Arabidopsis thaliana: one gene and its partners. The protein of the gene in region 1 purifies or fractionates together with the protein of each later gene. This does not show direct contact. Each region holds a gene or a part of one and is shown on either strand. Other genes may lie near its edges.

Region 1 (10,289 bases):
ATATTGAAATTGGCTTCGAGTAAGTTTATTGAAACTGTTGTGTTTGATTCTCTTGTTTGGTAATTAGTTAGATGGATTAGTGTTTGAATAACTGTGAAGTATATATGGGTAAGTGTAGATAACATGAATAAGATGGAAACACAATGATGTACATTTTCGGTGTTAAGTTATTGTGTTTATTTCTTCTGAACAATTGTAAACTATTATGGAATATGCAAAGGAAAAATAATTGTCGTTTGTTTTTATAATATTTGTAAACCGTTTTACGAAATTTTATTGACCAATATGTGGTTTTATTATTTGTTTATCATGTATAAGCATACCATATGATTTATACAGAAACTGGTTATAAAATCGACTTCTACAAAAAAAAAAAATATGTGAGTCTTTTCACCCAAATGCTTGATAATGGTCCTATTGTCCTATTGCCTTGACAAAGGCAAGTGGTATTCTTGAAACGTTAAAAAATAATAATCAATAGTTACTCAAATTTGGGCTTTATGTTAATATTGGGCTTCTTATCGTAAAGAAAGATAAGTCTAAGTTAAAACCATTTTGAATTCTTATGGGCTTCAATTGATACACTTTTCTCAGGAAAAAATATATAAAATGGCTACTGTTTTTAACTTTTTATGAATAAGAAGTCTAAGAAAATTTGAAAATTTATATACAGTTAATTTTGACGAAAGAATAATTTGTAGAGAAATTGTACGATCGCTATAAATAAAGAAAATTTTAATCTTTGACATCTTCATTATTTAAGGAAAAAAAAACCAGAATGTCATTTTTGTGACATGTTAAAAGGGCGACAAAACTAAACTGCACTTTTCAAATTGAAGCATACTTTATTTTTGTCTCTCAAATTCAAACATAATTAGTATAATTTGGTGAGAATTTTTTACGTCGTCGACATAATTTTGTATTGAGCTTTTTTTTTGTGTTTAGTATAATTTCGTAAGTTTTTGTCGTCAAAATATACTCTTACTTAATAAGATTTGTGGCGTCATATGTGACGAATGGCTACGTCTCAATATCCATGAAACGATTAAAAACCCAAGTGGGCCCATATGCTGACGTGTTATTTATGTTGGAGTGAGTCAATTCAGACAGACACGTGTTGTTGACGATGATGTGGACCCAAACTCCCACACATACATTACACAAAACAGCCGCCACTACAATCCCGCTTTTCCCGGGCTTACGCTCTCCCGCCAAGAATCTTACCTTTTTTGTTTCTCTTCTAATTAATTCAATTTTTTTTTCTCTCTTCCATTTTCCCCGCCATAATTAACCGGGCAAGACGGGCAGAAGAAGTCAAAACCGCGTTAAAGCGAAGAAGGATGTGGGCAAAACAGTCATTTACTTTCATATTAGCGTTTTAAGACAAAATCAAGACTCGTACGGAAAAAAATACACATTCTTTGAGAAATAAGGCCATCATTAAAATCAATTTAAATTTAAATTTCTTACATCTCTATACATATAGTTTCGGGCATAGGATACCTTTTTGGCGGCCCATGTGTACGTGTCCAGTGTCCTTCTTTTATTTTCTTAACCTAAGACACTGTGGAAAAAAACCTCATGCATGCGTAACAAAATTCAAAATACCTTAACTTCACACTTGCATTGGATTCGTTTTTTTCTTTCACTTGTACTATTATACTAGGAGTTATTTATATGTGAAAAGAATCTTATAGTACAAATGTAGCCCGTTCTCCCATTATCATCCCCTGGGAAGTATTCTTACTTATAATTACGTAATAGCTACCAATGTCGATCATCTCAATTAGTGTATCTTATAGATCTTACTTATACATTACACATATTTCAAACATTGAGGTATATCTTCTTTCTTTGTTAAAATTGAGGTATATTTTCGGTAGAGGGACGGTTGACTATAATTGCATTATTTCGTTAACGTCCGTTTTTCTTTTTGCAGTTTACATGTATTCCCAAAACCTGATGACTGCGCATATAAATGAGTATTTTGTAAAATATTTAGTGGAGAAACCTAAACCGAAGTTCAGACATGACACATATAGACATGCTCTAAATATTACTTCCTCTTATAATATATTCATGACCAAGTACATCTTGTCTTCTTTGGATGACTAATTAGTAATTATGGTTTAATTTTTAGCTTTCAACTCTTTTTTCAATAATTAAAGTCTATTTGGTTTTTCAGTTAAGATTTTTTTTTTTTGGTTAACTACTAGACTTTTTATGGTGAGATGGAGTTGAACTCACTGCTCAAAACTCTTGCGAAGGTGGCAACGCAACATGCGCTAATGAATCCGGTCAGTTAAGAGTTTATTTCTTCGTCATCCAACTCAATTCTACTATCCAATATCAGGATTCCGATTACTTGTATTTCTATAATTATTGGTTATTTTCATTCAATTTAGGAATCATAGTTTGTCTACACATATAGAGTCTATGAGAAATTTTTTATTTATATGATAACTAGAATTTATTCGATTGGTCCCCTAGAGAAGCACATGCATTGTTGAAGATAGCTACTATCATATCTATATAGACAAAGAACAAGTCACAAATGTATGTCTCTATCCAAATAAAAGAGAACCAAAACTTCGACAGTACAAAAGAATGATAAAACCAAAACTATTAATATGTATGCACATCTTATCACACACACAATAGACAATACGAAAGTATCTAAAATACTAGTTAATTAGATGAACTAGTTAGAAGACGGCCAGTTCGAGTTCATCATTACCTTTGAGAAACTGACTTAGGCATCGTGAAATTGTCACGTAATCTTGATCCTTGCAAATTTATTGTTTACCTTTAATTAGTGTCACTTCTTGGATTCGTTTAAACTATAATTTACAAATTAATAATTATCTTATCTTCTTGGATAATCAGAATAATCAGTCACTTCTTGGATTCTAAATATCTTGTTCAATCATTATCTTTTACATATTATATAAATTTGGAATTGATTGTATGTGTTATTATATAAGATTTGGACACTGATATATAACATGATCTTATTGATTCTTGAGTCGTTAGTTCTGAAAAATGTTTGTGTTTTCTTAAATGATGGAAGATGAAATAAGAAACAAAAAAGATGAATTAATAAAAAATCAATTCAATACGATATCCGTCATTTAAATTATTATTTTCTTTTAAAAAAAATCCTTTTAGTCAAGAAGTAACAATAATATCTCTATTAATAAGTTATTCATTTCGACTCCTACGTACTAAATTCTTTGTTTATCCTTATATCTGTACGGATCCAATGAATAATCAAAACATGCATTTTAAAGTGAAATTACACATTTTGAAAGATTCTTATGAAGATGCATTTGTTGTTGATGGAGTCGTTGAATGAGTTTAATAGTATACAAATTTTTGTTTGATGGAGTTGCTAAATGATTTAAGAAGTAATTCAGGATGCGAATGTTTTTGTGTGAGTGTCGGTTACTAGAAAATTTGAAAATATATTTTTGGAATATGTTTAGATGATGAATCAAAAGAGGAAAATGACTTAGAAGGATTTGGAAGACTTGATGAACGTGAAATTCAATGAGAAAAAAGGAAAATGTAAATAAAAATTTATTTTTTCTTATGGAATTTGGAAATCTTTTCCTATAATGATTAAAAAATCGTTTTGGATATATACGGAGAAGCTGGAGACGTTTTGAAGAAGCAAGAGAGCTGAGATATAAAGAAGAAATCTTTGAGAACTTTCTGTAAGATTGTGTGCAACTTAGTTTTGCGGGTTTGTGCTTGTGTGATCAAGTGGTTTTGCTTTGAAGTCTAGATTTAAGGATAGTTTAGTTCAGGGTTAGGTGTTATCCTGATTAAATCTAGATTTTGAAGGAATTTAATTAAGAGTAAAAATTATCTTTAAGGTTTCACGTTTTAAAAGAGAGCGGTAAATCAAGAGATTTGTGCTTATTTTACGCGTTTGCAAATTTGTTGTAATTTGTTTTATTATTCTACTGAAATTGAATCTAAACTTCTCCCGGAAAGTAGGAAAAACCGAATCTCGTTAACAAAATTCTTGTGTCTTTTCTTCCTTGCAATTTATATTACTTCATCCGCACTTTCAGCTTAGAATTTAATCTTTTAAAGTCTCCTAAAATGGAAGATTCGGCTATCATCAGTTGGGACACTAAAAGCTATTGTTTTGGAATTGCTAACTAGAACAAATTTACAGACTTGTGAAAGGTGAACCTAATCCTCAAACTTGGATTCTCATTTTGAATTGCTAGTACATTCGGCAGGCAATATAATTTTTTCCTGAAAAGAAATGTATTATAGTTCCTAAAGTCATGACAGTGAAATAAACTCGTTCACAAGAATGATCCAAACTCGTCAATCGTCATAGTCTCCTTCTATTCAAATATTTCTCTTGTATTTGGCATTTCAAAAAAAAGAGGAAAAAAACACGAGATTGGTCGTTGTCTCGTAAAGGAACCAAACAAGGCCTTAAGTCCCACATTGGATTCTCCCATCGCACCGCTATTCTCTGAACCCTATTTTGTCCTTTTCATGACTCAATCCACAAGAACACAACTGAGAATTAGTGACTTACTTGCATGCAACACATTTAATCTGCAAATAGTACTATTGGTGCGTAGCATGAGTAATTACTAATCATAATGTCTTATGAGTTTATTTAATTAATTTGTTACAATACAAAGTAGTGGTCAATGAATTAAAGATACTAATGACTTAGTGAGTGTGCAATTGTGCACGCAAAAAGCTCTTTAACCTGAAAAAAGAAAGTATCATATTTGTTGGGATGGCTTTAGAAGTAGAGGCCTCCTTAAAAAAAAGTCATGCATTGAAATTCTTCAGAATCCTTTTAAAGCATATAAAAAACATTACATGTGTGCATTATAAAATTGTTGATTTCTTCTCTTTCCAAATAGTATGATTTACCTCTTTTTATTTGAAATTAAAGATTTTTGTATTAGATCCCACCATATTATTTGTTAATAAAAACTATATTGGCCCACATCTAGAACATTAGATAAAGGAAACAATAATTATGCAAATACATAGTTTAAGTTATTAACCTATAAACGAGTTTTACCAACAACAAAAAAAAAACCTATAAACGTGTATAGTGGATTTGCCCAAAAAAAACGAGTATAGTGGAGAGTCAAAAGCTTGCCGTGTGGACTTGTCACAAATTATTGGTAATTTTATTATTATATTTAGGTAGTTGAGCTAACTGGTAAGATTTGCTCGCGTCACTTCTCCTTTAGTCTCCGTAGGCTTAATCCAAGGCTCTGAGTATAAAATTTTCTACATCAAATTAGTGTTTTTATAAAATCTGGACTGATTATTTGTTGATATATGTATAACCAAAATATTAATGAAACCAAATGTGATGAACAAGGCTAATTTGGAAGATACGCATTATCATAATTAGATTCATTATCATATATTTTTAACTCTAAGTCTAATAACCAAAGTTTTCATGGCCTGTAACTAATATATAACTAGAGAACTATATTAAAAAAAACTCAAATCTCACTAACGGCGACGTAGAAACACCGTCTCTAAATCAGAAGGAGGCGTAAAAAACTCTCTAACGACGTTACTCCGACATTTTAACGCCGGCCGTCGTTTTCTCGGTGCTGGTGGACATTCCAATAACTCCGGTATCTTCGTTTCCTTCGCTGTCGGTGTCGTCGAACACTCTTCCTCTTCGTTGTAGCAATCTTCTTCAACTTCGGTCACTATCTCCGGCGGCGCTCTGAGTTTCGTCTTGACTGGTTTCAACGAAGCCCGAATCGAAATTCCGGCGATAACCCATTTCTTCCCGTCGGATTCTAAACCTCCTTCGAATTGAGATTTCTTCGAAAAACCCATCTCTCTTTAACTAACTCAAAACCAAGATAAATGAAAAAACAGAGTAAACCCAAAAAGAAAACAGAGAGATAAAAACAGAGACTTGTTCCAATTAGAAGAAGAGGAATCGGAATAAAATGAAAGTGGGGAAAAAGATTAAAAATTTGTGGTTGGTCAAATTTTTTGGTCTGAAAGGAAGAATTTTTTTTGTTGTTGAGAAGAATGAGAAAAAACAAATGAGAGGAAATTGAGATAAAGAGAGGGTTTAAATAGTCAAAATAATATTCAGGAGAAAAAAGCTTTGCGAAGAAGATGAAGAAAAAAAGGGATAAAATTGGAAATTTAAAAAGAATAAAAATTTAGGTGCCCGAGAAATTTTACGGGCAGAGTCGCAACCACCGTCTTTTGTTTGGCGCCATAGTTTGAGAGTTTTGGTTCGCAACGGCTCTTTTTCCCGCCTTTATATCCTTTTAGTGATTCCCGATTTTGCCCCCAGTTTACTTTCCCGCGAGGTTTCTTTCTTTAGGTAAGAGAAGAACCGAAGAAGAGAACATCGGTTTGGTTTATTTACCCTCTTTGGTTCTAATCGGTTATCGTTAATTTACATTTTTTTATGGTTTTCTCTGGGTTTAGGTTCAAACTGAAATTAACTCGGTTTAACTTCAGTTCGTCAGTTTGTTGGTCATCAAAACGACGTCGGTTTTGACACACTGAATTTTCCCCATCACTTTAAATATTCATCTGCCTTCTCTCTAATTTTGGTTGATAAGATTATCAACAATCATGGAATCTGCCGAAAACAAAATCTAGTGTGAATCTTGTGGAAAATGAGTTTGGAATTTATATCACTCACGGCTTATTCATCAACATTATTAAACTATATGATATATACAATTCAATAAACAGCAACGTTAGAAAACATCAGTAGCATATCAAGCCATGTCAAAAACTAGCTAACCATGGAGGCAAACAACAATATATTATATATCTATAACTAATCGATCATTAATACAGTTTAAAGTTATGTTCGTAATTAAGGTGTGCCATCATCACGGATTCATGCATGCACTTATATATACATAGAAGCCATTATGTGTACAAATACAATGTCAATATCAAACAAACAATATATATGCAGCTAATTCTAGTCATTAGAAAGATAAGGATAAGAGAGATTGGCGGGTGATTATCAGCATGATGGATTGCTCTCCCTCTGGTTCTAGAGTCGAACATGAAGATTGGAACCCTAGAAATCTTAAATCCGATACGTGCGATATGAAGTATAAGTCAATGTTGCATTGTAGTTATTTTATGATACCAAGAAATTTGAAATTTTAGGTAAATTTTAGTTATTATTCCGGACCATGAGACGAAGAGATACAAATAGATAAAAGGTCCATCCCAATTTCTTTTAGACAAAAAAAAGATGATGTAATCAAATACATCTTTTAGTTAAGGTTTACATTTTACAATTTACAATTTTATAGTTAACTTTGATATATTATATTCTATATTTCTTTATGTAATAAAAGTAATCAATATTCAATTATTAGGCGATAGGATGAATGGACCTTTGAGAGACATGAATGGTGATAGAGACAAGTTGAGGAAGGTCGGGACTAGCTAGGGCTGACATTGTGTCACATAAGCATTAGATTTATTCGCATTCAAAACGTTATGAAAATTAATGTAAAATATGAAGAAGAACAATTTGAAATGTTTTTTAACTAAAATTTGAAATTGAAAGTAACGCATATTATATTGGACCTACAAAAGAGCCGACCCTTATCTATTTTAGTGTGAAAGAAATGCATGGGACCCTCTTAGTCAACCAGCCTTATAAGACCTCTTTGGCCAATTCTATTAGTTACTTATCGAAAGTGTTCAAATTGCCATCGAACCCGAATGTCCAGCAAGACCTTTGACATATCTTATACATAACTCGCCAATTCTCGATCATTTATCATGTAATCTTGTATCCAATTCGGTTGTTCTGATATATGAGGGTTTCTTTTAATACAAAAATGACTCTAACATGTGTTTAATTACGATGATTTGTAAGGTTTCGATTGTTTTTCGAATTAATTACGAATTTTGCTATTCTTCTTATGGCATTTATAGATTTTGCCATCTTTAAATAGTTTTTAAAATTTTATCATTTTTCAGGTATAAAAAAGTGATTTAACTTGTGTTTTACCCATTATGATAAAATTAGTCGGGTTTTTTTTTGGTTTAGTATTTGGTATAAAATACGTGTTTAAAAAAAAAATCGTAAATACGTATATCTTAAATGTTAAAAATGGCAAAATTGTAAAAGTTTAGTAAAATTATCATTTTTAGAAAAAAATCCAAAAAATGGCAAACTGGACAACAATCCCTTCTTCTTCATGTGAAAATTTTACACTTCACATCTTTATCTTGACTTGTGTATCTTACTCTCGACCAATTTTCGTTCCGTGATACATGAATGTTTAGAAAATATATCTATATAAATATTTAACATGTTTTATACTATTTCTTTATTTACATTGTATGAAAAATTATTTATCAATTAGTCATCTATAAATTACTATTCTCTCTGTTCCTTTTTATTTGATTTTCTAGGAAATAAATTTGTTTTAAGAAATTGATTTTTTAAGGTTTTTTATGCAACATTTATTTGTTATTTTTGATGAAGTGTTAACTTTAATAAAAATGATTGAATATCATTGGTTTAAAGTTATATGAAATTGTAAAACACACAAAATAATACATTTAAAATCAACTTTAATATGCTTACCTTAATATGTGTGTTTTTCCTAAACAGTCAAACAAAAATAAACAAAGAGAATATTATACATGAAATGCATTTAAATGAATAATTATTCAAAAATAGTGTATAAAGAAAACGTAAACCTAGTCAAACGATTATCATGCGACACATTTTCAAAGTTATTCTAAGAGTATGAGCTTATAGTCACTCTTATCCATATTGATTAATCTTTATATCGCGTTTGTAACGCTCGGGCCACCTCCTTGCAAGTAAATAACAGTTCTGGTGAACTTCTAACGAACCTCCTTGCAATTTTGATCATATCTAAACCAATCTGGATCGGATCATTCTCTTTTAGAAAAATTATTAGGCTAAATAAGTGATGCAATCGTTCACGCAATCAGTTCATACGAAAAGGTAAGATACATCACACCAAAAGTATATTTCATTGTATATTATAACTTGCTTTTATGAACCCAATCCGAATTGTTATCATTACCTTAAATTTAATATTGGGCGCAAAAGCAAAATTGGATTTATCTTCGATAATATTGTTCTGGACGGCGACGTAAGGACAATTATTTTCGGTTTGGTCGGTTTGATAGGAGCCTCCTTTTTTTTATCAATTTGCATACATTTTCATTCAGTGTTTAGTCATAGCATATATGTTACTTATATACGCCACAAAACAAAGTAGACCAAGAAGGACCAACTTGTGGAAAAAAAAAACAAAGTAGACCAACATTGATGTTCATATGCAGATTATATTTCAGTAGTATAAAATATTACTAGAGATGCATTTTGTAAATGGTTAAGTTTTCAATAATATTTTTATCTGCCCGTTACTATCACAACTCTAGAAAAAGTGGAATTCGAAACTCTGAATAAGTAATTAAGCATAATTAAGAACCACATATAGATGATTCATAATTGATTACAATCGAGATTAAATCTCAACATAAATCAATGTTGCATATGTGTGTTTCCATCCACATTTTCTATGCAAAACTAAGTTTCAATGATTTGTTTTCTTCTTACATTTATCCAAAAATAAAATAAATTAATACTTTTAGGGTGCAAAAAAAAAAAGATTTATTGGACGAAATTTTTATTAAGATTATATTATTTCTTTTACTTTTATAAGATATATATAGTGACGAGAAATAGAACATATATGAATGTCAATTAATAAGATGATTAACCATTATACAAACTAGAAAGGAAGGATTGGTACACCAATATTTGTTTTTGGGCTGGACCAGCCGCAAATTTTGAATCAGTTTGATTGTTAAAAAGGAAAATAAACTAACAACTAATCTAGGTGTGTTGCCAATTTGCCAAAACAAAAATATAAATGTGGTGTCATTACTTTTATTAAAATAATTACTGTGCACTGACCAAACAAACACAAAATGACAAAAATAAACAGAACATTGCTTTAAAGCAACATTCTTTAGACTGAACCGAATTTGTCTGATCGCACCAATCCAAAATGATCCAGATATTCCATTCTAGTTTATCACTAGAAAAAAGTATTTTTTGTAGAAATTAAAAAAGCCGCAAAACCAGAAGTTCTGGATAAAAAAGCCGATTCAATTTTCAGCACCGGCTGATTCAGTTATGTATCTTAAAAATCTTATAACACGTGCAAGAACATGTTGTTTTGACATTGAAAAAATGAAGAACATTTATTTCTTAAAATAAA
Region 2 (12,080 bases), on another chromosome or scaffold:
GTAACGTTATACATATTTGTTAATAAATTCCATTTAAAATAATATAGATCATGAAAAAATTAAGGTAAACATATGCATAATGGTCTAAAAATTCTCTTAAAAGTCTTAATGATATTCGAAATTTGATCCCATTGATTAAAAAGATTGAAAAAACTCGAAAGGTTTTGAAAATCATGCCTAAAAGAGACACTTAAATAATATGTCTTCTCTGTTTTATAGCCTGAGCTGTAACGTTGATCCCCGTCGACATTGATCTCAACTTGATTATCTGAAAATAGTTGCTGACCAATCAATTTTTCTCGTTTTTTGGATTGAGTTTGGAGCTTCTTTTTTTTTTCTTTTGAGTGGTCTACATTTGACATTCTCTTAGAATTTTAAAATGATAAAGAATAGAATAATATTAATTAACATTTGGTGGTCGTATGTTCTAGTCTACTTCAACAAGCGTTCGGGATTAACTCATGTGTCTCGCGCTGAGTCACTCATCATAATCTTAAAACCCTAAGGAAAAAGAAAATCCAATGGCACACGTAAATTACACTTTCTTTCTTTTTATAACAATTATACTGTTTTTAAGAGCATCGTTAATAAAACCCTTCGAGTGATCAAATCCCATTTGGTTTCCAGAAAACCATCATAAACTTATTCTTCTTTCAGGATCTCATTTGCGGATTTGCCTCTCAATTTGGTCAACACGTATACTATCCTAGCGAGACGCTACTCATACGCTCATTATTACAATTAAAGTACAATCATTTATATTATGAGTGAAGTTATTATCTACGTTATCTGAAATTATAACTTACGTACGCGAGTGAATACATATACTCCAACTTGTGAAGAAATTAACGTTTTTCCGATAAATCACTTTATTGATATATCAAATTACCGATGATATAGTTGATTAAGCCATGTCGCTGTTTCGCTGAAGTATGTTTAAAGTACGACGCCACGCGATCTGTATAACAAAGCGTGGGACAATCAATCTTTCAATCTAGCTAACGTTACGCTAATATCACGAATTTTTCTATTCTATATATGTATTCAATGGGTTTGACTTTTACTTTGTGACACATTTATTCTTCATTAAGCTGATTGGTTAAACAGATTTAAACCTTTCTCTTTACAATAACCATTATAACCTATATAACATAACTCATGTAATAAGCCGATAATCGAGCGCGAGACACATGAGTTTATCCATTAGTCACTGTCAGTCTGTCACCAACCATTCAGAACATTTGTTTTAAATTTTAATTACGTGAATGATCTAATTACGACATTGTAGTAATCAAGTGGCTAAGCACTTAAGCTTATCCAATTTTCAGAAATTATATATACCATTCGATTTCGGGTGTATACAAAATGTATACGGCATTAAATAAAATAAATATTTGATTTATAATGTAACGTAGAATATATTTTATTTTTGAACAATTACGTAGAAATATCAACTAGATTAACCAGAAAAACACGTGAATTAAGCAAAAGAAAAGTCATTAGGAGACTTTTGCTATTGATTTTAAAATATTTGTGGCGCTCTGAATGTCTTGGTTTTGAATATGATGTTATTCATTATATAATTTAATTAAACGGAGAAATATATAACCTTTTTTTTGTCAAAAGGAGAAATATATAACCTAAGTAATCAAATGTGTCTAGTTTTGTTATTTTTCTAAATAATTATGACCAGGCCTTGTCGAATTAAAAGTTAACAAGTTATGATGAATGTGTCCGAAAAAGTTTGAGATACATAAATCAATAAATCACATCACGTAGACATCAACAAATAATTTGTGTATTTCTAAACGTGCAAATATTTCCTCTGTCGCAATTTCCTTGAATCGTACAATAAAAAAAAAAAAACGCATGGGTTAAAAAATAAGTGTGGCTGAGAATTGATAGGTAGAAGTTGTTGTTAAATTATTGAACAAGCCAGCTCCATCGGTAGTGTGCCATATGCACCGCAAAAAAAGTGATTATCAACTACGATGGTTAAAAAAGAAAAATCTTCTCTTACATTAAAAATAATAAATTCTTTTTGTTTTACCGTTTCAAAATGGATTATATTTCCAAGCAGTATCTATACAAAATTAATTCCATACATACTCTAGTTATTAATATTTTCCATATTTAAAATAAAACTTTGATCTACTTTTCTATTCTTTTATCAAATAGATCCGTATTTTGAATATATGTTTTAAGGAATTAGATCTCTCTCTTTTTTCCTGTCATGCAATTCGTAGACAAAAATATAATTTGTAAACTAATTAAATATTCGAAAACATAAGTTCAAAGATAACTTAAATGTAAATATTTAGTGTCTTACAAACCATAGGAATAGAACAACTAGATAGAAGATAAAATTTAAAGGCTTAGTTTGTCGTTTTTGTTGTTATCGGTTTGGTTTGCTCTCATAGATGGAGGTACTTGGTCTGGAAACATGTTTTGCATCATGTTAGTCCAAAAGTCGACATCCTTGAGTTTCAGCTCCATCTCTTCAATCTTCTTCTCCAGCTTGTTCAACTTTTCTTGTGTCTCGAGATACTTATCTTCGTAAAACAAAGATGGAACCGCCTTCATTGATCCATATGCAAAACGTTTGTCTTTCTTTATTTGAACCTCCTAAAACCCCCAAAAAAATACTTTTAAAAGAAAGTTAGTTGATAACTTATAAAATTATTGTTAGAAAATAAATAATTTTTAAAAATTCAAAAGTGTCACCTCTTTGTATATGTCATCTTTTTCATCTTGGGTGAGATATTGGTGGTCTCCTTGAAACATTTGAGTTAGTCTCTCGTCCTCTAAGACTTTGCTCTTCTCAACTACCAACTCGGCTTTTTGGTCGACAAAGGTCTCGTCCGAATTTATCTTGTTGGTCTCCTCCATTGAGGTGTCCATATCAAGGAGCTCACCAATCTCCTCATCCCGGTTTAATTGTATACTTTCTGGGGTTGAGGCACGGCCCATACTTGATTCGATTTTCCTTAGAATTTCATATAAAACAGAAGCAATGCTGCGTGCATTTATCAACTTCTCTTGCTGACTATATTCAGATAAATTTCCATAGGTTAATGTTGGTTCGTTGAAATTGAACTAGAACTAGCAATAGTCAGTAGATTTTTTTAAAAATGGAGGATATATATATACCTATTATCCAAATTGAATGATGCACCATGTCTGATGATGTATTCATTGTAAGCATGATAAACACGTTTGAGTTCCTTATGATCATTTATTTCCTTTCTTCTTCTTATAGTAAACTCGTCATCCTACTACAAGTAAACAAATTAAAGATCAAGACAAACAACATAACAACTTAATATATAAGGTTAGAAATTTCATGAATTATCCGGAGACTGATCCACACCATTCATATGATCGGTCATATCTTAAAAAAAATCAAGAAACTAGCTAGAATCAGTGTCACGTTTTCTACTCTTAGGTGACTTGCCTTCTCTAGCCTTCGAAGAAGAGAATTTTTGAACTGTCGTACACCTCTTCCGTTAGATCTACTGTCAATGCGGTGAGCTTCTTCAAAAGTATAAAAACGGCCTACGACCAGAAAAAATAAAAAGATTAACATATAAATTATGATTCTTTAACAAGAAAGCGTGAATTTCGACTCAAAAACAGAGAAAATCCTAAAGTAGTACTCAAATTTAGGGAATTAGACGAGAGTAAAGTAAACTCACATAGATAAGCAACACGAGGATCATCAGACTCAACCAAGTTTGCTACACGAAGAAACCTTTGAATCCCTGAGGCTAATGTCTCCGGAAGCTTCTCGCTGTCATAGGGCTCCCACACATATTGTTCTTTCAAAGCGAGGGGTCTCGTGAACAAGCTGGTTGCCGGCGAATCTTCCGGGAGGATGGGATCCATATCAAGAAAAACATCGGTAGGATCCACAGGGGCGATTTCGTTAGACGACATTGGGAGATGAAAGCTGCTTCTTCTATTGTTTTAGTTGGCATGGAGATAACATTGGAGATGGAATTAATTATATAAAGCAGCACTTGCTTAGCGAGGTGGAATTCTATAAAATAAACAATGTAAAGACGGTGTTTGAAGTGTTAATTAAAAGTGATTTATTGGAGGAGAAAAATGCTTTCTACTAGTTTGGTACTAGAGAAAGTGGTTTCCTAGCAAAAGTTTACACTTTACACGATAATATCAACGTGCATGGGAAAAGAAAAACCATTAAAACAAGTTGAGATAGACTAAATCTTATGAATTGGAATATAATTAAAGCATATGTATATATTTCTTAGCCACCAAGAATATACCAAAATATAGACTACAAAAATAACTTGATGTCCAAATCAAACCAAATTGTAAAATGTATTAAAAAAAATTAGTCATCTTTTTTTTTTTTGTAAAACAAACTTTTTTAGTCATCTTTCGGTACAAATCATAGATGAGTAGTCGATGTGTTCAAAATTATCATTTTATTTATTACCATTTTATTAATGGTAATTTTTGTTCTAACTATTTGTTTAGTTTGAATGTGTGATGAAATTAATTTCTAAAGCGTAGTAGTAGTAGTAATGGGTAATTTGGTCATTGCGTAGTCTCCCACTGGTTCTCCGTAACTGTCTCAAAATTACTCATTTGAGACGCTCATTCGTTTTCCTTCGTTCCCTCTCTTTCTTCACACTCCTTTTTTTATTTATTTCCATTGATCTCTCTCCTCTCCTCGATTTTTCCCTCCTTTAATCCATCTCTGCATATTCTTCAAGCTTGGGTTCATCTTCATCTTGATCTGAATCGATCCGGTATGTGAACTCTTTCTCTTTCCCTCAATTCTCTATAAATCTCTAAGCTCAATTCGTTATTGTACGTCTTCGTTCTGCGTTTGATGCCGTATCCTGAAGTTTTTTTTTTTTTTTCGGTTCATGATGCTTTCTCATCGTTTTCCACTGGATCTGCTGCTAAATCTGGGAAATTTTAGCGTATTTGGATTTGCTACATTTGTCATACATACTTCTGGATCTAGATCTGCCTTATTTTTTCCTTGATCATTTCGAATTTTGGATTAATAGTTGTAGCTTGTCCTTTTATCAATTCGAATCTCATGACTTTGATTGTACTGAATCACACAGTGAAATTTTGTAAAAAAGGATAGATTTTTGAATGGTTCTGCTTAGTGTGTAGTCTAACTGTTTGATTAAATGTCGCAAGATGAAGTTTTTCTTGTGCTGTTTCGTCTGTCAATGAAGCTTTTCTGAATTGAATTTTCATGGGTTTTGATGTTGCAGATGGCTACATATAAGCCTAAGAACATCCTCATCACTGGGGCTGCTGGATTCATAGCCTCTCATGTTGCTAACAGACTAGTTCGCAGCTACCCTGACTACAAAATTGTTGTGCTTGACAAGCTTGATTACTGTTCTAATCTGAAGAACCTTAATCCTTCTAAATCCTCTCCCAACTTCAAGTTTGTGAAAGGAGATATCGCCAGTGCTGATCTCGTCAACTACCTTCTCATCACTGAAGAAATCGACACCATTATGCACTTTGCTGCTCAAACCCATGTTGACAATTCTTTCGGTAATAGCTTTGAGTTTACCAAGAACAATATTTATGGTACCCATGTCCTTTTGGAAGCTTGTAAAGTCACTGGCCAGATCAGGAGGTTCATCCATGTGAGTACTGATGAGGTCTATGGAGAGACTGATGAGGATGCTTCAGTGGGTAATCACGAGGCTTCTCAGTTGCTCCCAACTAATCCATACTCCGCCACTAAAGCTGGAGCTGAGATGCTTGTCATGGCATATGGTAGATCATATGGGTTGCCGGTTATAACAACTCGCGGGAACAATGTTTATGGTCCTAACCAGTTTCCTGAAAAGTTGATTCCTAAGTTCATCCTCTTGGCCATGAATGGGAAGCCTCTCCCAATCCACGGAGATGGATCTAATGTGAGAAGTTATCTCTACTGCGAAGATGTTGCTGAGGCATTTGAGGTTGTTCTTCACAAAGGGGAAGTTAACCATGTCTACAATATAGGGACAACGAGAGAAAGGAGAGTGATTGATGTGGCTAATGACATCAGTAAACTCTTTGGGATAGACCCTGACTCCACCATTCAGTATGTGGAAAACCGGCCATTCAATGACCAGAGGTACTTCCTCGATGACCAGAAGCTGAAGAAATTAGGATGGTGTGAGCGAACCAATTGGGAAGAAGGACTGAGGAAGACAATGGAATGGTATACTGAGAACCCTGAGTGGTGGGGCGATGTTTCTGGAGCTCTGCTTCCTCATCCACGGATGTTGATGATGCCCGGTGACCGACACTCTGATGGCTCTGACGAGCACAAGAATGCAGATGGTAATCAGACATTCACGGTGGTTACTCCCACCAAGGCTGGTTGTTCCGGAGACAAAAGATCCTTGAAGTTCCTCATCTATGGGAAGACTGGGTGGCTCGGTGGTCTTCTGGGAAAACTATGTGAGAAACAAGGGATTCCTTACGAGTATGGAAAAGGAAGACTAGAGGATAGAGCTTCTCTCATCGCAGATATTCGCAGCATCAAACCAAGTCATGTCTTCAACGCCGCTGGTTTAACTGGGAGACCCAATGTTGACTGGTGTGAATCTCACAAAACTGAAACCATCCGAGTCAACGTTGCTGGAACTTTGACTCTTGCAGATGTTTGCAGAGAGAATGATCTGTTGATGATGAACTTTGCCACTGGTTGTATATTCGAGTATGACGCTGCACATCCAGAAGGTTCAGGGATTGGTTTTAAGGAAGAAGATAAACCGAATTTCACTGGTTCTTTCTACTCAAAAACAAAGGCAATGGTAAGATAATATCACATAACCAAATCACATCTGATCCTCAGTCTCTTGAACTCTGTCCATAAAAAATCCTCTTGTTTCTATTTTTGCCAGGTGGAAGAGCTTCTAAGAGAATTTGACAACGTATGCACCTTGAGAGTGCGGATGCCAATCTCATCTGACTTAAATAACCCGCGAAACTTCATCACGAAGATCTCGCGTTACAACAAAGTGGTGAACATTCCAAACAGCATGACCATACTAGATGAACTCTTACCAATCTCGATCGAGATGGCGAAGAGGAACCTAAGGGGAATATGGAACTTCACCAATCCAGGAGTGGTGAGCCACAACGAGATATTAGAGATGTACAAGAGTTACATCGAGCCTGATTTCAAATGGTCCAACTTCAATTTGGAAGAACAGGCTAAGGTCATTGTTGCTCCACGGAGCAACAACGAGATGGATGGTGCCAAGCTCAGCAAGGAGTTTCCAGAGATGCTTTCCATCAAAGATTCGTTGATCAAATACGTCTTCGAACCTAACAAGAGAACGTAAAACACAGACACACACACGCACTTCCCCGCTCTGTGTTCACTATAATGTTTCTACTATAGTTTTATCTGATTCATTTACTCTCTTTTTTTGCATTCTACGACTTGCATGTAGCTGTCTTCACTCATTCTACGTCACAACACATCTTTGTTTTCCATTAATGTTATTACACAGATCGATTTGTTGGAGTTGTCTCTCCTTTCATTATTGGTTCCTCCTACTCCTATTCTATAATCCCTGTTTTGTTTTCATGTTAAGCAAGATATAGAAAAAGAAGAAACAAAATTGACTTTAACTTATTTCCCTTTGCTTTAAACTTGAGGATTCTATTTGTTACAAACAGCAAACTCAAATGCATAAATAAATTAAACTTCTGTACTTTCTGTTCCATCTACGCAACACGACCATCTAAAAGCATTTGGCTTTCTCTTCAGTTTCACCACCTTAGAGAACTACGAGTGACATTCCATGATCTTTTCATCCTACCACAATTCAAAACTAGTAAAGTTAATGTGTATCGAGGAAAATAAAAATTTATTCACTTAGAATGATGAAGAAAACGGTGGAAGTGAGGAACGCAAAGACCTCAATACCTTGTATTTTGTTCTTCTCTTCACAGAGTTTGAGGGTATTGTCTAGACAATGGTAGAATTTCTTGGCTCGTTATAAGAGATTTAAGTCAGTAGGAGTTGATGATTGATTGGCTTTTGAATTCTTATAAAGGAGAAGAAGACTTAAATAGAGTTTGAGATTGTACCCTCTGTTTCTGTAGACAACCAGTCATGTGCACAGAACAAAGCCTGTCTGATATCAGGGTTCAAGGAACTCTGACTATCAGAGATCACCGGTGTCCCAGAGTTGAAGGTTGAATCAGGCGCACAGATTGACATCGGCGTACCCAAAATGTCACGGGCCAACAAAGAGAGGATAGGGTATCTTGGTGTATGGACCTTCCAGTAATTCAGAATGTTGAACTCGCCACTACGGGGAAAGATCGGTTCAGACAAGTACTTGTCCAAATCCGTTGTTGTGTTTTGGTTCTGAGAAGTCTCGTGAAGAAACTTGTCGAACCCTTTCAGTCTGTCTCTAGTGTCCATACTAGCTCTACCTAAACCGGATCCAGAGAAGGAATCTTCACCGACAATGGCTGAGCACATCGAATATGCATCAAGAAGCTCCTTGACACCATTCGACACTTCCTTGATACGATCCAGAGCGGTACTGCCATAGATCTTAGAGTAGTAATACTCTACCAACTTCATCTTGAATCGCGGATCCAATATCGCAGCGATTGCTAAAACAAGGCTGCATTTGTTCCAATACTCATCGAATTTAGCCTTCATATTTGCTGCGAGAGAACTCAAGAAGTTGTCCTGGTTCTTGCACCACTCGACCAACTGGATGTGGATATCACACATCTCAGCAAAGTATACATTTGCTGTAGGACATTTGTTTGCTGAAAAGTCAGAGGCAATATCGAATACAAGTTTAAGATAACCAGTAACGTATCTTGTCCATTCCCACTCCTCGTCGGTTAGAGATGAATCAAAGCTGTGATCGTGATCACGCAGATGGCAAAACGCACCCTTGTACTCCAATACGGTTTCAAGCATCACGAACGTAGAGTTCGAGTTAACAATAGAATCAAGAACCAAGATCTTCTGGGAGTTGATTCCGGCGAGTTGAGCAATTTCGTTGAACCTTACTTGTGTTGATTGCGAGCTCTTGACATATCTCACACTTCCTCGAATCTTTTGGATCACATCTCTCATAGCCTCCAAGCAATCTTCGACAAGAGAATTCAGAAGATGAGCGGCAGATTTCAACTCAAATAACTGCCCGTTGATTAATATCTGGCTGCTCTGAGACATATGGTCTTTAATTCGCAGGACAATCTCTTCATTAACAGAAACACTGTCGAACGTAACAGCGAAAAGCTTGTTCTCAAGACTCCATTCAATCAAACATCTGATGATCACTTCCGAGAGCATATCTTCAGTATGAGAAGGATCCAAGGTGATAAAGTTTAGAACATTCCTATGTAGCCTCCACTCCTCATCGATATAATTAGAGGCCAAACACACATAGTTAGAATTATCCCGGGAAGACCACATCTCCACCGAAAGATTGACTTTACCGTATAAATGATTCAAAGTGTGCTGCACTCTCTGCTTCTCCCTAATGTAAATCTCCATACATGAATCCTCAATTGTGCTATTTGGCACAGCTTCAAACAACGGCTGAAGATTCCTAGCAAAAACTTTGAATCCAACATGATCAACCATGGCTAACGGATAATTGTGCAAAATAATCATACGTGCAAGATCAACCTGACTCCTTTCTTGACTAAACCTTCCACCACTTCCTCGGCTTAGAACCACCTCGTCCCTTCGTTGGTCCTGATCAAACTTAGGTCTAAGATACTCTTCTTTCGCTTGACCGTCATCAAAATTGATAGTAGCAACAGTAACTGGATTCTCTTTTTTCCTTCTTTTAGGTGTCAGCAACTGAGACATGTCGTGATTAGTTCTTTTGAGACACCGCATAAGATGGTTCCGAAGATGAGTTGTTCCGCTGTTGCTCGAACCACTGAGTTTTTTATTACACTGAATGCAAACAGCATAGCACACATCAGCCTTTCTCACTCTCTCAAAGTAATTCCAGACAACAGATGTCAACCTCTTTGATTTCTGCAAGATTATCTCATTTGATTCATCCATCATACAAAACTTGTATCCCTGCTACACCAAAATCCCTATTCATTGATTTAAACAACACAATTAGACTGAAACAAAAAGATCAGTTTTTTTACACAATTACAATGGCGTGAGAGTTCTGTGATTATCCTAGAGCATCACACCATCAGCATCAAAACCAAGTTCAGTAAGACGAAAGCCTACTTGATGAATGCACCACATTCATTGATCAAAGCAACAAACTTGAGACTAATTTACACAATTAGAATGGCATGAGCGTTACAAAGATCATCCCAAAGCATCACCATCAGCATTACACAGTCATAGCTTTGATCAAAACCAAAAAAAAATCACCATTGCAACAGAGATCATCAAATCATAAAACCAGGATGCGCCACATTATTCAACAATAAAAACCACCACACAAAATTCAATGAAATCAATCAAAGGTACAAACTTTAGGATGAAATTAGTCATACACTAGAAACAAACAAAACCCTTATGAATTTTGCGAGCAAGCTTTTGATATCAAGAAATTAGCCGAGAGAGTGAAAGAAGAACAGAGCAATAGCAAGAAAGTTTGAAATTTGGACACCTTTGTTTATAAGAGAAAAAAGCAAAGCCGTCAGAATCTTTGGAGACTAGAATCGGAGGATCCGAGGAGCTCTTTTAAGGGTTACGGGTGGAAGAAGCTGGATCGAAGAATATCAGATCCGATGGACGATTTGGGTTTTAAAGACCCGCATTTAGGGGTTCGGGTGGGTTAAACCGATGGAGGAGAAACCAAAATCCGGTTTTGGATCCGAATTTATCCCGGTTTCGTTGTAAACGCGGTTTTTGGCGCGGTTGGATAGATCTGATTAGTGATCCGATCTCAATTAATCCAATATTCTTTCTTTTTGTTAATTATAGACTTATAGTATTCAAAATTAAGATGTTAAGATAATGTTTAATTTATAAATATGAATCCTGTTAATGGTAAATGATAACTAGTTAACTACATTGTCAAATACATATTTAAGGGTATATTGACCTAGCTAACAAGATGGTCGAAGAATAACAAATCTCTCAAAACACTTTAATCTAAACTATTTATCATAATCTCAATGTGTTTTGACGTTACGAAAAACTTCAATTTCATTTCCTTCTCATCAATTCCATTTATAAATTATATATTCTTCTTTTTAAAAATATGGGAGTATATGCTTAGTTAAAACTCGAGTAATTTGCAAAAATTATAATAAAATCATTTTATCATTTTCAGTGATATTTTAGAAGAAGAAATTTTTTTTTTATTAATGTGAGGTTTTCAACTTTCAACTTTCTATACATAACTAAATATTTTTTGACCTATTATATTTTACAGTACTTTTTATTGGATTAATTAGTTATAGACTTATAGAGTTATAGTTAATAATGTTTGTACAATTGCGCTTTCATTTCCTCGATTTAGTAGAACAACATCATAAAATGTCTCAAGGCCAATAACTTAGCTACAACAATGACTACTTATTGCTTAAATTACCACAAACTAACTTACTTCAACTTTTACAAAACCACTCATACATATTATATACACCATTAACAATCATAATCTTCTTTCCCATAACGCAACGAAAAATGCATTTCTCTGTTTCTCTAGAATCTTTCAAATTCAAGGACCGCGTTGTTGCATCCATGAAGGAGGAATGCGGTCTGAAGAAGTTGGATTAGCCGTAGGAGGGAGACTTCGAACATTAATGTTAAGAGGATATAAGCGATACTCGATATCTAGCTCTCTACAAGTTTTTCCCACTTCCTCTAGTAATAGACCTCTTCTTATATACCTCTCTCCCATGTCTTGATGATTCATTCTATGTGTCAACCACACCGCTATCTTCACACTATTCAAGTCATCCATGCTTAGGAACACAATCATAGGTGCAGGATACCAATAATCCTTCTTGTTGTCTACGTAACTGCATCAAAACATAAGAATATAGTTTAGACTTCACTTTCAAGAGACTTAACCTAGTATATCGGTCAGATTTAGGGTTTAACG
Region 3 (11,556 bases), on another chromosome or scaffold:
TCTTGGAGGTAAGTTCCAAGAAGAGAGGAAGTCTTACAAAGTGATCAAAGTTGAGCCTTTCAACTCCACAAAGAAGCGAATGGGAGTTGTAATCGAGCTTCCTGAGGGAGGACGTATGCGTGCTCACACGAAAGGAGCTTCCGAGATTGTTTTAGCTGCTTGTGACAAAGTTGTAAACTCGAGCGGTGAGGTTGTTCCACTTGATGAAGAATCAATCAAGTATCTGAATGTTACAATCAACGAGTTTGCTAATGAAGCTCTTCGAACTCTTTGCCTTGCTTATATGGATATTGAAGGCGGGTTTTCGCCGGATGATGCAATCCCGGCTTCTGGATTTACTTGCGTAGGGATTGTGGGAATCAAAGATCCCGTACGTCCTGGAGTTAAAGAATCTGTTGAGCTTTGTCGCCGTGCTGGAATCACTGTGAGGATGGTTACAGGAGATAACATTAACACCGCGAAAGCAATTGCTAGAGAATGTGGGATTTTAACTGATGACGGTATAGCCATCGAAGGTCCCGTATTCAGAGAGAAGAATCAAGAAGAGTTACTAGAACTGATTCCAAAGATTCAGGTGCTTTTTGTTTCATGAACTAAAGACTTAATTTTTTTTGTTTAGTTTTTGAAACATAACCTTTCCTATGTTCTTATACAGGTGATGGCTCGTTCTTCACCAATGGATAAGCATACACTTGTGAAACAGTTAAGGACAACGTTTGATGAAGTTGTTGCTGTCACTGGAGATGGAACAAATGATGCACCTGCACTTCATGAAGCTGATATTGGACTAGCAATGGGAATTGCTGGAACTGAAGTGAGTATATGATAAGATTTTGTTATGTCATTTGTGAGAGCTAAAGAATCTAAAAGTTTCTATCTGTATAACCTTTTAGGTGGCGAAAGAGAGCGCTGATGTCATCATTCTCGACGATAACTTCAGCACGATCGTCACAGTTGCTAAATGGGGACGTTCTGTTTACATAAACATCCAGAAATTCGTTCAGTTTCAGCTTACCGTTAATGTTGTTGCACTGGTTGTTAACTTCTCTTCAGCTTGTTTAACCGGTAGGTTTAGTAAGAATACCAATTCAATGTCTCGAAAAGAATCATTTTGGATTCCTTGTTTGACACAGCTCTTATGATAATCTTCAGGAAGTGCTCCTTTAACTGCTGTTCAATTGTTGTGGGTGAACATGATCATGGACACACTTGGAGCTCTTGCTTTAGCTACAGAGCCACCAAACGACGAGCTGATGAAGCGTTTACCTGTTGGAAGGAGAGGCAATTTCATCACTAATGCGATGTGGAGGAACATTTTAGGACAAGCTGTTTACCAATTCATCGTAATTTGGATTCTCCAAGCCAAAGGGAAGGCTATGTTTGGTCTCGACGGTCCTGACTCAACTCTCATGTTAAACACTCTTATCTTCAACTGCTTCGTCTTCTGTCAGGTAAAGAACAAAGATTACTGATAACAATACTCGAGCTATAAAGATAGATTCTTGACATGACTTTGGTTCTGAAAACTCCAGGTGTTTAACGAGATAAGCTCGCGAGAGATGGAAGAGATCGATGTTTTCAAAGGAATACTGGACAATTACGTCTTTGTGGTTGTGATCGGTGCAACGGTTTTCTTTCAGATCATAATCATCGAGTTCTTGGGCACATTTGCAAGCACAACACCACTCACAATAACACAATGGATCTTCAGTATCTTCATAGGTTTCTTGGGTATGCCAATCGCCGCTGGACTGAAGACGATTCCCGTTTGATCGTTCCATCAAAATTGGCTCGAAACCACTCTTTAAAGATCTCTATATTAGACCAGTTACTTCAAAGTTTAGAACGGACAAGTCTTCTAACAAAGTTTTTGCATTATGCAATGACTCTGTTTTTTATTCTTGACTTTTATTTTTCAGTTTGATTAGTGCTATTAAGGACAAATATCTGATTTCCTCCATTTTTGTAAAACTCTCTGTATCTTTGAAATGACACTTCTCTTTTCTTTCTTTTTCTCATTTTTGGAATCTAAATTTGGTCTCTATTGAATGACAAATGCAAAAATACAGAAAAAGGACATTGAAAAAACAGAGGAAGCAAAAGGTTAAAATAAGAAAAATGATTATTTGGGTACAAAATTGTTATCTAGCCAGACTGTAATTTGATATACTTAGAAAATCTCTCAATGAAGTCATGGCTTTTAGTGGGAGCCTCTTCTCCTGACATCATATCTCATCAGTCAAAACTGATTCCATATAACAATTCCAAAGCCTGTCAATCTCAAAACTGTAATAAATAAGAAAGACTCTTCTTTAAGAAAAGAAAAAAACATTTTTAAATGTTATCAATTTAGGATCTCTATGAAGTAAAACCATTTTTTAGATTGAAAAAATGAGTATACTATAGTCATTTGTCCCTTGTAGGCGTATAGGTAAATTATAATTTCTATGTGAACATTAGACCGGTAAAATATTCTATAACTAATTGTTTAAGTTTGTGATCGTGTGAATAAATGTTCATAAATAAAGGACTAATTAATATCTAGAATGAAAATAGAATTTACATAAAGATTAGTTATTTTTGTGATATTTCAATCTCACTAGTCATTAGTTTATCCATCTCCTAACCAAAGTGAGAGTTGTAACTAAATTGTGTTACCCGTGAATCTCACATATGTCTACACAAAACCCAACAGAAACAAAATGGTTTAACTCAATGATAATAAGCAAAAAAAAAAAATAACAATTGGGACATACTAATATTCATTGAAAGATAGGCAACAGAAAATTCAGAAGCATTAACTAGTTCTTGGTGAAGTAAAGCTTGACCCTTTATGCTTCTTGATTTGTTGAATAATCTCTTAGAGCAACAAAACATTGGCCTTAAACCACACACACATTATCTTTAATTATATTCTGTCAGTACTTTATGCTTCTTAATTTGTAAGAATGCATTTTGTTTGTAATAAGTCTTTTAATTCGTTGCTAATCATTTTGGAATTAAAGCTTTAATTAATGGAACCAAAACTTTGGATCCCAAGTTGTATTGTATGAGACAGTTGTTTCTCACTTAAACAAGTCGTTGGGTTGTTGTTTCTTCAGTCTATTACACATATGTTTTTTTTTTTTTTTCTCAACTGCATTTCATTGAAAATATTAACAATAATCCTATAAACACACACAAAAAAAACAATCTACCTCTATATGTACGAGTACGATGCACTTTTGACTTGCGCGTAGAATAGTACGTTAACTTAAAAACATCACATGCAAATTTCTGTATAAATTGGGGTTTCATCTTTAGATCCAATCATTGATCCAAAGTACTTCCACAGTTCCACTACAAGTTGTTGGTTTCTATAATGCTAAAGAAAACTTATTGGAGCAAAATATATATCCGTTTTAGTTTATCGTGATCGACTGATTGTCAATTCGTAAAAGTAGTTATCTATCAAAGATAAGTAACGATGATTTTTCCTAAACAAGAAAATTTTCTTTTTATTTGATTAATTTTTTTCCAAGATATTATATATTGAGATTTGAGAACATGAAAAGATCACGAAGGACTTTGTGGAATGGACATAACATGTTGAGTAGCATACAGATGGATTCACTTTGGAGATGACCAAAAGTGTCAATAAAGATAAGAAAATAAATATATTTATCAAATATAAAATAATTTTACCTTACCTTAAAAAGAGTTTTTTCATTTATTATTTGCTATGAATGAGCCCTTTTGAAAGTTAAAGAGGTTAAAAAAATGGACTTTGATGCCAAAAAAAAAAAAAAATCTATGACAAAATTTTGTAATATCAAATGAAAAAGAAATTGCAACATAACAAATAAAAAAATAAGACAATAAAAAAATAAAAGAGGATGTGAAACCAAATCACTGGCACTGCAACTATTGGCCTAAAACTATTCACCCTTTCTGTTTTTCTTATTTATTTACATTCACTCCTCATATTTCCTAGATTCTCTCAGAGAAGCCCCTAATGTTTTAATAGTCACATTTCATCCCCAAGAAATCCAAAGACCTTCATACGAAGAACCTATATGAGTTACTTCATAAAAATTGAAATAACCGATGTATTCAGACCATTTTTTCTCTATAATCAAATGATTGAATATAAAACCAAATCAATATGTTGCCAAAAAAGAAACCAAATCAATATAAGCCAAAACTTGAAGAAGAAAGAAACTCTCTCTTCATAGCCTACGCATTCTCTTGGCTGGTGGAGAACTTTGATCAGAATCATCAAAAGACAATCGGCGTTTAGCGCCACTTCCTGAAGCCGGCGGTTCGCGAGAAACCGCTATTTCCGGTGGAGGTGTCATATGTTTCCTCTCCTCAATCTCTAGCGTTCTCTGATAACACAAATATACATTTTCCTACAAAACCCAACACTCCTAAGATTATGATCATCAACATCAAACAATCAAAATCGAATAAAAAGACACCAAGATTTATACATTCTCATTAGAAGTCCACCAAGAGATCGAACCAAACTTGTTAGCTATCTCTTCTCTAGTCAATCTAATATCCGATGAGGTAGAAGAAGAAGCTAGCAATGTAGTAACAGCAGCAACAACAAACTGTCGATACTCCGTAAAACTTATCTCTACATGGAAACAAAAATGTGATATCAATAAATGCTTTGATCTTGAGAAAAAAATGTGTTTCTTAATAGAGTTACCTTTAGTTAAAGCAAGAAGAGAATCAGAGGATCTTAACAACACCAAGTCTTTAGAAACAGAATGGTTGTCCTGAGAGATTTTAGCAAGGAAGTAGTTGAAGTAATGAAAAGGAGTGATCAAGTTCATCTTCCAGTCCAATGTGGATAGAATCAACAGTTCAGTTTTACGAATGACATCGGGTTTGAAAACGAAGTCATGATCTTGAGGGTATTGTGATAAACCAGGAACAATACGTTCCTCCATTTTAGCAGCTAATGATAAACAAGCTACTGATAACAATCGCATCGCCCATGTTTCATCTTTCTGCAACTACAAAGAAACCATCTTTAAGCTTTAATCTGAAGATAAAGGTGAGATTTTTATAGATAAATGAAACTGGAGATTGAAACTTACACCGATGAATCTTTTGTGGAGAAACAGATCGAAGTATGAGATTGCAATGTAAGCTGTTTGATGTTGGAACCCAAATCTTGTTCTTGTCTGAGATTAAGACAAAGAACCAATCAATCAGAGATTAAGACAAAGATCAAAAAAGGGAAAATCTTTTTGAGATTACGGACAGTGAGAATCCAATCGATGGCAATCAATCTATCGGAAGACGACGTCGTTTTAGAGGGTAGGGTTTCGAATCGGAGATTCTCTTTAAGAACAAGGTCTGCCACATAATCTTCATCATCGATCGTAGTAGTAAAGTGAGGTTCTTGCTTATCAGATCTCTCAATCGTCTCGTCGTCGTCTTCGTTTAGAGAAGACTCCGATTCGTGGCAGAGGAAGAGAGCGAGACTGTCTTTAGGCTCACCCATTTAACGGCGGCGATGATGATGAAGACGACGGCGGCGGCGGAGATAGAAGTGTTCTTCTTCTTCTGCTTCTGCTTCGGTGGTGTGTCCGTACACATCAAAAGGGGAATTATAAAGAATTTGTGAGAAGAGTGTTTTTTTTTTAATTTATGAGATGAGAGGCAAAGTTATCGCAGTGAATATAGGGGAAGAATAAGAAGGGAAGCTAAATCATCGTATTTGATTTTTCTTCCATTACTCGATTTGGGATTTTAGGAGCAAGTGACGAAAAAACAAAGAAAAAAGAGAGAGAGAGTGGAGAGAGAGAGAGAGTCTCCCGCGTCTGGTGCCGCCAAAAATAAGTGGGGGAGAGAGAGGGGGCGTTATTTAGCGGTTACATTTAAATTAAAAATCTTTATTATTTGATTAATTTTAGGTTTTATTTGTTCACTAATATTTGAGTATATGTATAATATCATCACTCTTTTTTTTTGGGTCGACAAATAATCACATTTTTTAAAGGAATGATTACTCTTTTATTTTTTTAATATCCAGCAGGATTACTTGTGTTTGAAGACTTTTTGATGCTAGTCAATTATGGGTTTTTTTTAATTTAACAAAATTGTTTTTATCTAATAGTATTGTATTTTCTTGAAAAAGATTTCTGCTATTTCCATTAAACTGTTTTGTATTTTGTTGATTATTTAAGTTTAAGCAAATTTATTTTAAAAAAACTTTTTTAATTTCGGAGTTGTCTATGATAATGTGAACTTTATTGATAAATTAAATGTTATTAATAGAAATAAATACTTAATGCAGGAATGGAGAGCGTTTAGAACTATTGTGGCTGTCTTAAATATATGAGATTTACACGTTTTAAGAACGTCCATATATAAATGTCATTGTTTTTACCTGTTGAACTTCCTTGATTACACTCTAGATTTCTTACATGAACAAAGTTCACGGATTCTGTTAAGAATGTTATCATCAAACTTTTTCTTCTATTTATTTGTTGTTTTGTACAAATGGAATTTTCTTTCGGTCTCTGAGATAAGATTTATAGGATCCTTTGAATTTGTATCAATCATTTAGTTAGGAAAGAATAATGATCCCATTGAAATTTATGTGCAGAAAGTTAAATCCCATTCCAAATACAACGTTCTTATTAACATTTCTCATTAGTGTATTCCACGTACCACCCCCTTTGTTGCTTTTGTAGTAACTTCTATTTTAAGAGGTTTGAATTAAAATGTACTTTATTCAAAATAGAATTGTGAACAGAAAACAGAGGAATAGCTAGTTTAGTTATTTCCCACTTATTGACTTCAATTAAATTCAGACCTAGAAATTCATTTTCAATGGAAGAAAATAAAGATCAAAAGAGCAATTTTGCAATAAGTTTTTTTTAGGAATTGGTGGGGGAAACACCATACCATTCCCACTAAAAAAAATCCTCTCAACTTTTTAATTTAGTTCCATATCATTATTTTTGCTAAGTCATATACAAATTTTCCTATAGTTCTATTGCAATTATTATTCAATTTTTCTTCTCCGTAAATCTTTTTGTTTCCTCACTTTTTATAGTTATATTCACGGTAACGAGTAATTAGGCCTACGAGTAATGACTTCCATGTTAGGTGAGAAAGTTGTATATGACTCATGTAGTAGATGTTACGAGACACGAAGATTGTGTATGAAAATTTATACAGTACGTAGATAAGAAGAGTAGATATACGTAAGCAAATTCACATAGATTGTAGGTAGAAATATAGACAAATACTGAATGAGTATATTTATTGTAAAAATAGGTAGGTCTCGTTAGCGGGTTCCAAAACCTTATCATGTGTTAAATTTTGATGTATACAAGAAAAATTGAAAGCAGAATCCGATGTATCGTAAACCATCCGAATTATAACTGATTATCCAATTGGATGAAAGTGGAATTATACTATACAATATGTAATATGTTAAGAAAAAAAAAGAACAACAATTTACTAATTTGTACTATAATTAGTCTTGAACAAACTTAAAATCAAATAAATATTTATTTATCCATCAGCAAATGAGGCTCCCATCTTTATATGTTTCTGGTCCCTTTTTTGACAAATTTTTTAAAAAATAAAAAGACTTGTATATATAGGCGCATGGCTTTGGAGCCGAGTCATTCAATATATAGGATAATTAATTTTTCTATTATAGTATTAATATTTATAAGACTAGATGTAAGAAAAGGGTATAAAACCAAGAAGACGCAAGATCCAAAATCTGCAACTTTTATGTGTATGTTAGTGAAGTATCAGCAGCATTTGTTCGATCTCCCCCCTAGATACAAGTAATATTCTCACATTACGTATTTTACAGATTATTTTTGTATTTCCTTTTTTTAACTTCTGACTTGTATTATTGTGCATTTCTATGTATATATATACAATGATTACATTATGTTACAAATTTTTTTCTGAGATGTTTGTATGTAGTCAAGATGAGGGACCAATTTCACAATAACTTGAAAAATGCATTTCATCATTTTAGAATTTAGATGATGTGATCTGCAATTGCCAAGATTGACCGAAATTAGTAACGATGATGATGAATTTGCAGGATATTTTTTTATCACTTCAAAACAAGTTTTGGGTCGTTAGGCTAACTCGCTTGGTGAATATCTATGTCTAATTTGTTTTTTTTGGTGAAACAAAATTATTTTTGTTTTCTCGTGCTTTTCTTTCTATGATTGTCTTCCCTTGTTGATAAGGAATCAAAGTCTTTTGTGGTCTATTTCACGCATTTAATAAAATTACTATTATGTGGAAAATAAAATGTAATATTGGTAACTAAATATGACATTACATATAGCAAATGAGACGAAAATAAATGCTCCTATTTGAACATAGTGAACTCTTAAGAGTTAAGAAGGGTTAACAGTCAGACATATAAAAAAAAAAAAGAGTTAGTAACCAAATATAATTTGATCACATTTTTAATGAACTAACAAATCTAGGATACCTAACACACGTTACACACAATATTTTCCAATCTACTTATGATTCCTTTCGAGGTGTGTATTAGTCTATTCATCCTCTAGCAAAAACAAAGAAACTCGGTCCCTCTGTTTCCACAAGAAGGTCTCTATGGACAAAAAAGACATAACACTATCAAATATCAATTGTGTATGATGTTGAATAATACATGAAAGAAATATGATATAATATATAAAAAAAAATTGATGGTGGAATGATGGCGCACGTGACAATAACTACAGTGGAGGAGCGTCGGTCACGTGCGAAAGGCTGGATTGCCTCAGAAACGAAGAAGAAGAAGACGCTCCACCTCTGCCTAACTAGTAACAATCCAAAAAACTATATGATATAAATATAAATTATGATATCATGTCACTACTAGATAAGTTTCCTATAAGAGTAAAAAAGGTTTAAAATAAATAATTACAGTGACGATATAGTCTGTGCCATGTGTTGAATTTCTTTGGGGCTTGGTGCCCATCTAAGTGGAACCTTTGACTGTGTGAAAGTTTTTTACGATTCCAAGACAGTCAAACTTTGACCAAATATTTCTATTTACGTGTGTCCGATTTATAACTTTGGTTACAGCTTGGATTTTGGATAAGTAAATTTTTTTCTTTTTTCGATTTACGTTTTGGTGTATAAAAGACTAACAAGTGTTAGGTGGGAAGCATCATGGTTTTAGCAAGAGAATATAAAACTCTATGAATAATTGAATATAACATATTAACTTTCACATACTCATAAAATTATATAATTGACAAAATGTAATACAAAATGGTTCGTTGAAGGAATAGAGTACAACAAAATGATCAGCCACCTAACTCTTACGATTCATATCCGTTGTGTTAGTTGTGTACTGTTTGCAATTTACATAACCATTAATGTTATCGACAATATATTCATGCTTGATTCACTATATATATGATGAGTAGTAATAGTAAAAAAAAGTACATGTACATATCACAGCTTATCCGAATTATTAAAAGAAGTCTTGAAACTCGTGTGAACTCTAGTTCACGCTTTAGAGTAATGAAACTGCTCATTTAATTGTTACACATACATTTTTTTTTTATATAAAATCTCATCTAACTTGTTTGGAGGAAATAGTATATGTATATTGCCATTGAATTGTAACAGCTAACAAGAAAAAGGCAACGAATTCGTGCTTGTAGTGTTGTATATTTGATAAGAATATTTATTAGATGAAGAAGACAAGAAAGCAATTCCCATTTCGTTACAAACAACAACAAGAGGCTTCGCCGTATACTATTTATTACGTTTCCTGAATACACTCTACACTATATTGGCCCTCCTTATTTAAAAACATATTTTCTTAATACACATAAGTTTTGATTCTGTTTTAATTGCAATCATACATAATTGTTTTTATTTTGACAAAAAAAAAACAGAAAAATCATACAAAATTTATAACATCTAATTATTACAGTGACACGAAATCAGATACATAATTTTTTTACTCAATTTTTGTTAAAAAAAGAGTTCGTTGCTATAGATTTAAAAGAAAATTGCGAAAGTTCGTAGATAAAATTAAATTTTGTAATGCTATAGTATGCGACTATCTCCATTCTCCACAAGAGAAGTAGATGTAATAGTGAGTGTTAACTGTTAAGCATTTCGGGATATTACTAATAATGGGCCTAAAACTTATTATAAGGTAAGACCCATCTTTATCAAAATGTTTCTACAGGCCCAATATATAAGTGAGAGTGACCCATGTGTAATAATGTAGCCAATGTAGCCGGTCTACATAACTGAGGTCCATGCTATAACAATCTGTTTTTCTTTATCAATCAATGCTAGAGTTTGCCCAAAAAAAAAAAAATATATGCTAGAGGGTACTCATTGACATTGTTACTCCAAAATATATGAACAAACAAAGTTAATATATCGATGGACATATTCGATAGTTATTTATTTCACGGACACAGAAATAAGATCGGTGGACAAATTAACAAATATACCCATTCCTCAGCAAGAAACATAAGATCGGCCCTCACAGCTGAAGCTTTGGCGATGCTTCTCGCTCTTCAGCAAGCCAAAGATCTTGGATTCACCTCTCTGTCAATTGCTTCTGATTCACAACAGTTGATCAAAGCCATCACCTCGAGAACTCCATTAACGGAGCTCCATGGAATCCTACACGATATTCTCCTCCTCGCGTCGGAGATTGGGTTTGTTAGGTTTCACTCTATCCCTCGAAATGAAAATCGACTTGCAGATGCCCTTTCAAAATTGGGTCTTGCTTCAATTTCGTCTTTGTACCCGGTTGACTCCGGTTTAAATGTTTAATTTCTAATGAAAACCAACTTTCGCACAAAAAAAAAAAAAAAAAAATGAACAAACAAAGTGTATACAATTCATTAATTTTCTACAACGACAACTCTACAAGTATTGATATGATGATAGATAAATTAGCTAAATAGTGAATAAAATGTCAGTTGTTTAATAGACCACGTTGAACATACACGTTTTAAAATCAAAACACAATCAATTTGTTGACGTGTTTAGACATATTCGATAGTTATTTATTTCACGGACACAGAAATAAATTAGTTTTTACTTTTAGTGATGGAGCTGTTATAGGCATGATTGTTGTACTTGTTAATAATTTCCCCTAATTTGTCATATTAGCAATCGTAAAAGAGAAAGTGCCTCATGAACTATATGAAGAGGTCAGCGTGAGCGTGCCAGCAACTTGAGAGATTCGTGACCAAGTATCTATCAAAAGAGCTCTATTATTTTTTGAGGCTGAGTCAGCGACTAATAATTTCGTTATTAAATTACCGCTTTTTCATTTGTTTAATCATACTTTTCGTATACTCTATGGTTAAATCGTTAATTTGTCGCGAAGAGGCAATGTGACGTTTTACACAACATAATCCAACAAATGAAACAAAAAGATATTACCATAACCTATTATTACCTATCACAATCTTACCTAATCTTTGTCGGTCTTTGAAATGGTACATTGCCCATCGCATAAAGGGGTATGGTGCGACTCCGGCTCGTAGCAGTTCCGTGGGTTGATGAATGGTTGTT

The links.
Region 2: the proteins of AT5G40460 (region 1) and RHM3 purify together in Arabidopsis thaliana (affinity purification with mass spectrometry, with the first as the bait; one large-scale study listed by BioGRID). This does not show direct contact.
Region 3: the proteins of AT5G40460 (region 1) and CYCD5;1 purify together in Arabidopsis thaliana (affinity purification with mass spectrometry, with the first as the bait; one large-scale study listed by BioGRID). This does not show direct contact.

Annotation. Positions count from the first base shown.
Region 1 is NC_003076.8:16,198,029-16,208,317, reverse strand, and holds AT5G40460 (cyclin-dependent kinase inhibitor SMR3-like protein), read right to left. Parts: upstream 6,177-10,289; 5' UTR 5,854-6,176; coding exon 5,515-5,853; 3' UTR 4,960-5,514; downstream 1-4,959. Other genes in the region: AT5G40470 (RNI-like superfamily protein), read left to right, coding at 1-63.
Region 2 is NC_003074.8:4,959,530-4,971,609, forward strand, and holds RHM3 (rhamnose biosynthesis 3), read left to right. Parts: upstream 1-4,575; 5' UTR 4,576-4,778; intron 4,779-4,954; 5' UTR 4,955-5,252; coding exon 5,253-6,812; intron 6,813-6,902; coding exon 6,903-7,346; 3' UTR 7,347-7,546; downstream 7,547-12,080. Other genes in the region: AT3G14780 (callose synthase), read right to left, coding at 2,368-2,625, 2,725-3,046, 3,151-3,272, 3,455-3,555, 3,696-3,936; MSL5 (mechanosensitive channel of small conductance-like 5), read right to left, coding at 11,694-11,997. UniProt on the Arabidopsis thaliana protein: Trifunctional enzyme involved in UDP-beta-L-rhamnose biosynthesis, a precursor of the primary cell wall components rhamnogalacturonan I (RG-I) and rhamnogalacturonan II (RG-II).
Region 3 is NC_003075.7:17,673,441-17,684,996, reverse strand, and holds CYCD5;1 (cyclin d5;1), read right to left. Parts: upstream 5,830-11,556; 5' UTR 5,501-5,829; coding exon 5,258-5,500; intron 5,178-5,257; coding exon 5,091-5,177; intron 5,007-5,090; coding exon 4,697-5,006; intron 4,622-4,696; coding exon 4,473-4,621; coding exon of another isoform or gene 4,467-4,472; exon of another isoform or gene 4,392-4,466; coding exon 4,209-4,391; 3' UTR 3,733-4,208; downstream 1-3,732. Other genes in the region: ACA2 (calcium ATPase 2), read left to right, coding at 1-574, 656-814, 894-1,065, 1,153-1,451, 1,533-1,772.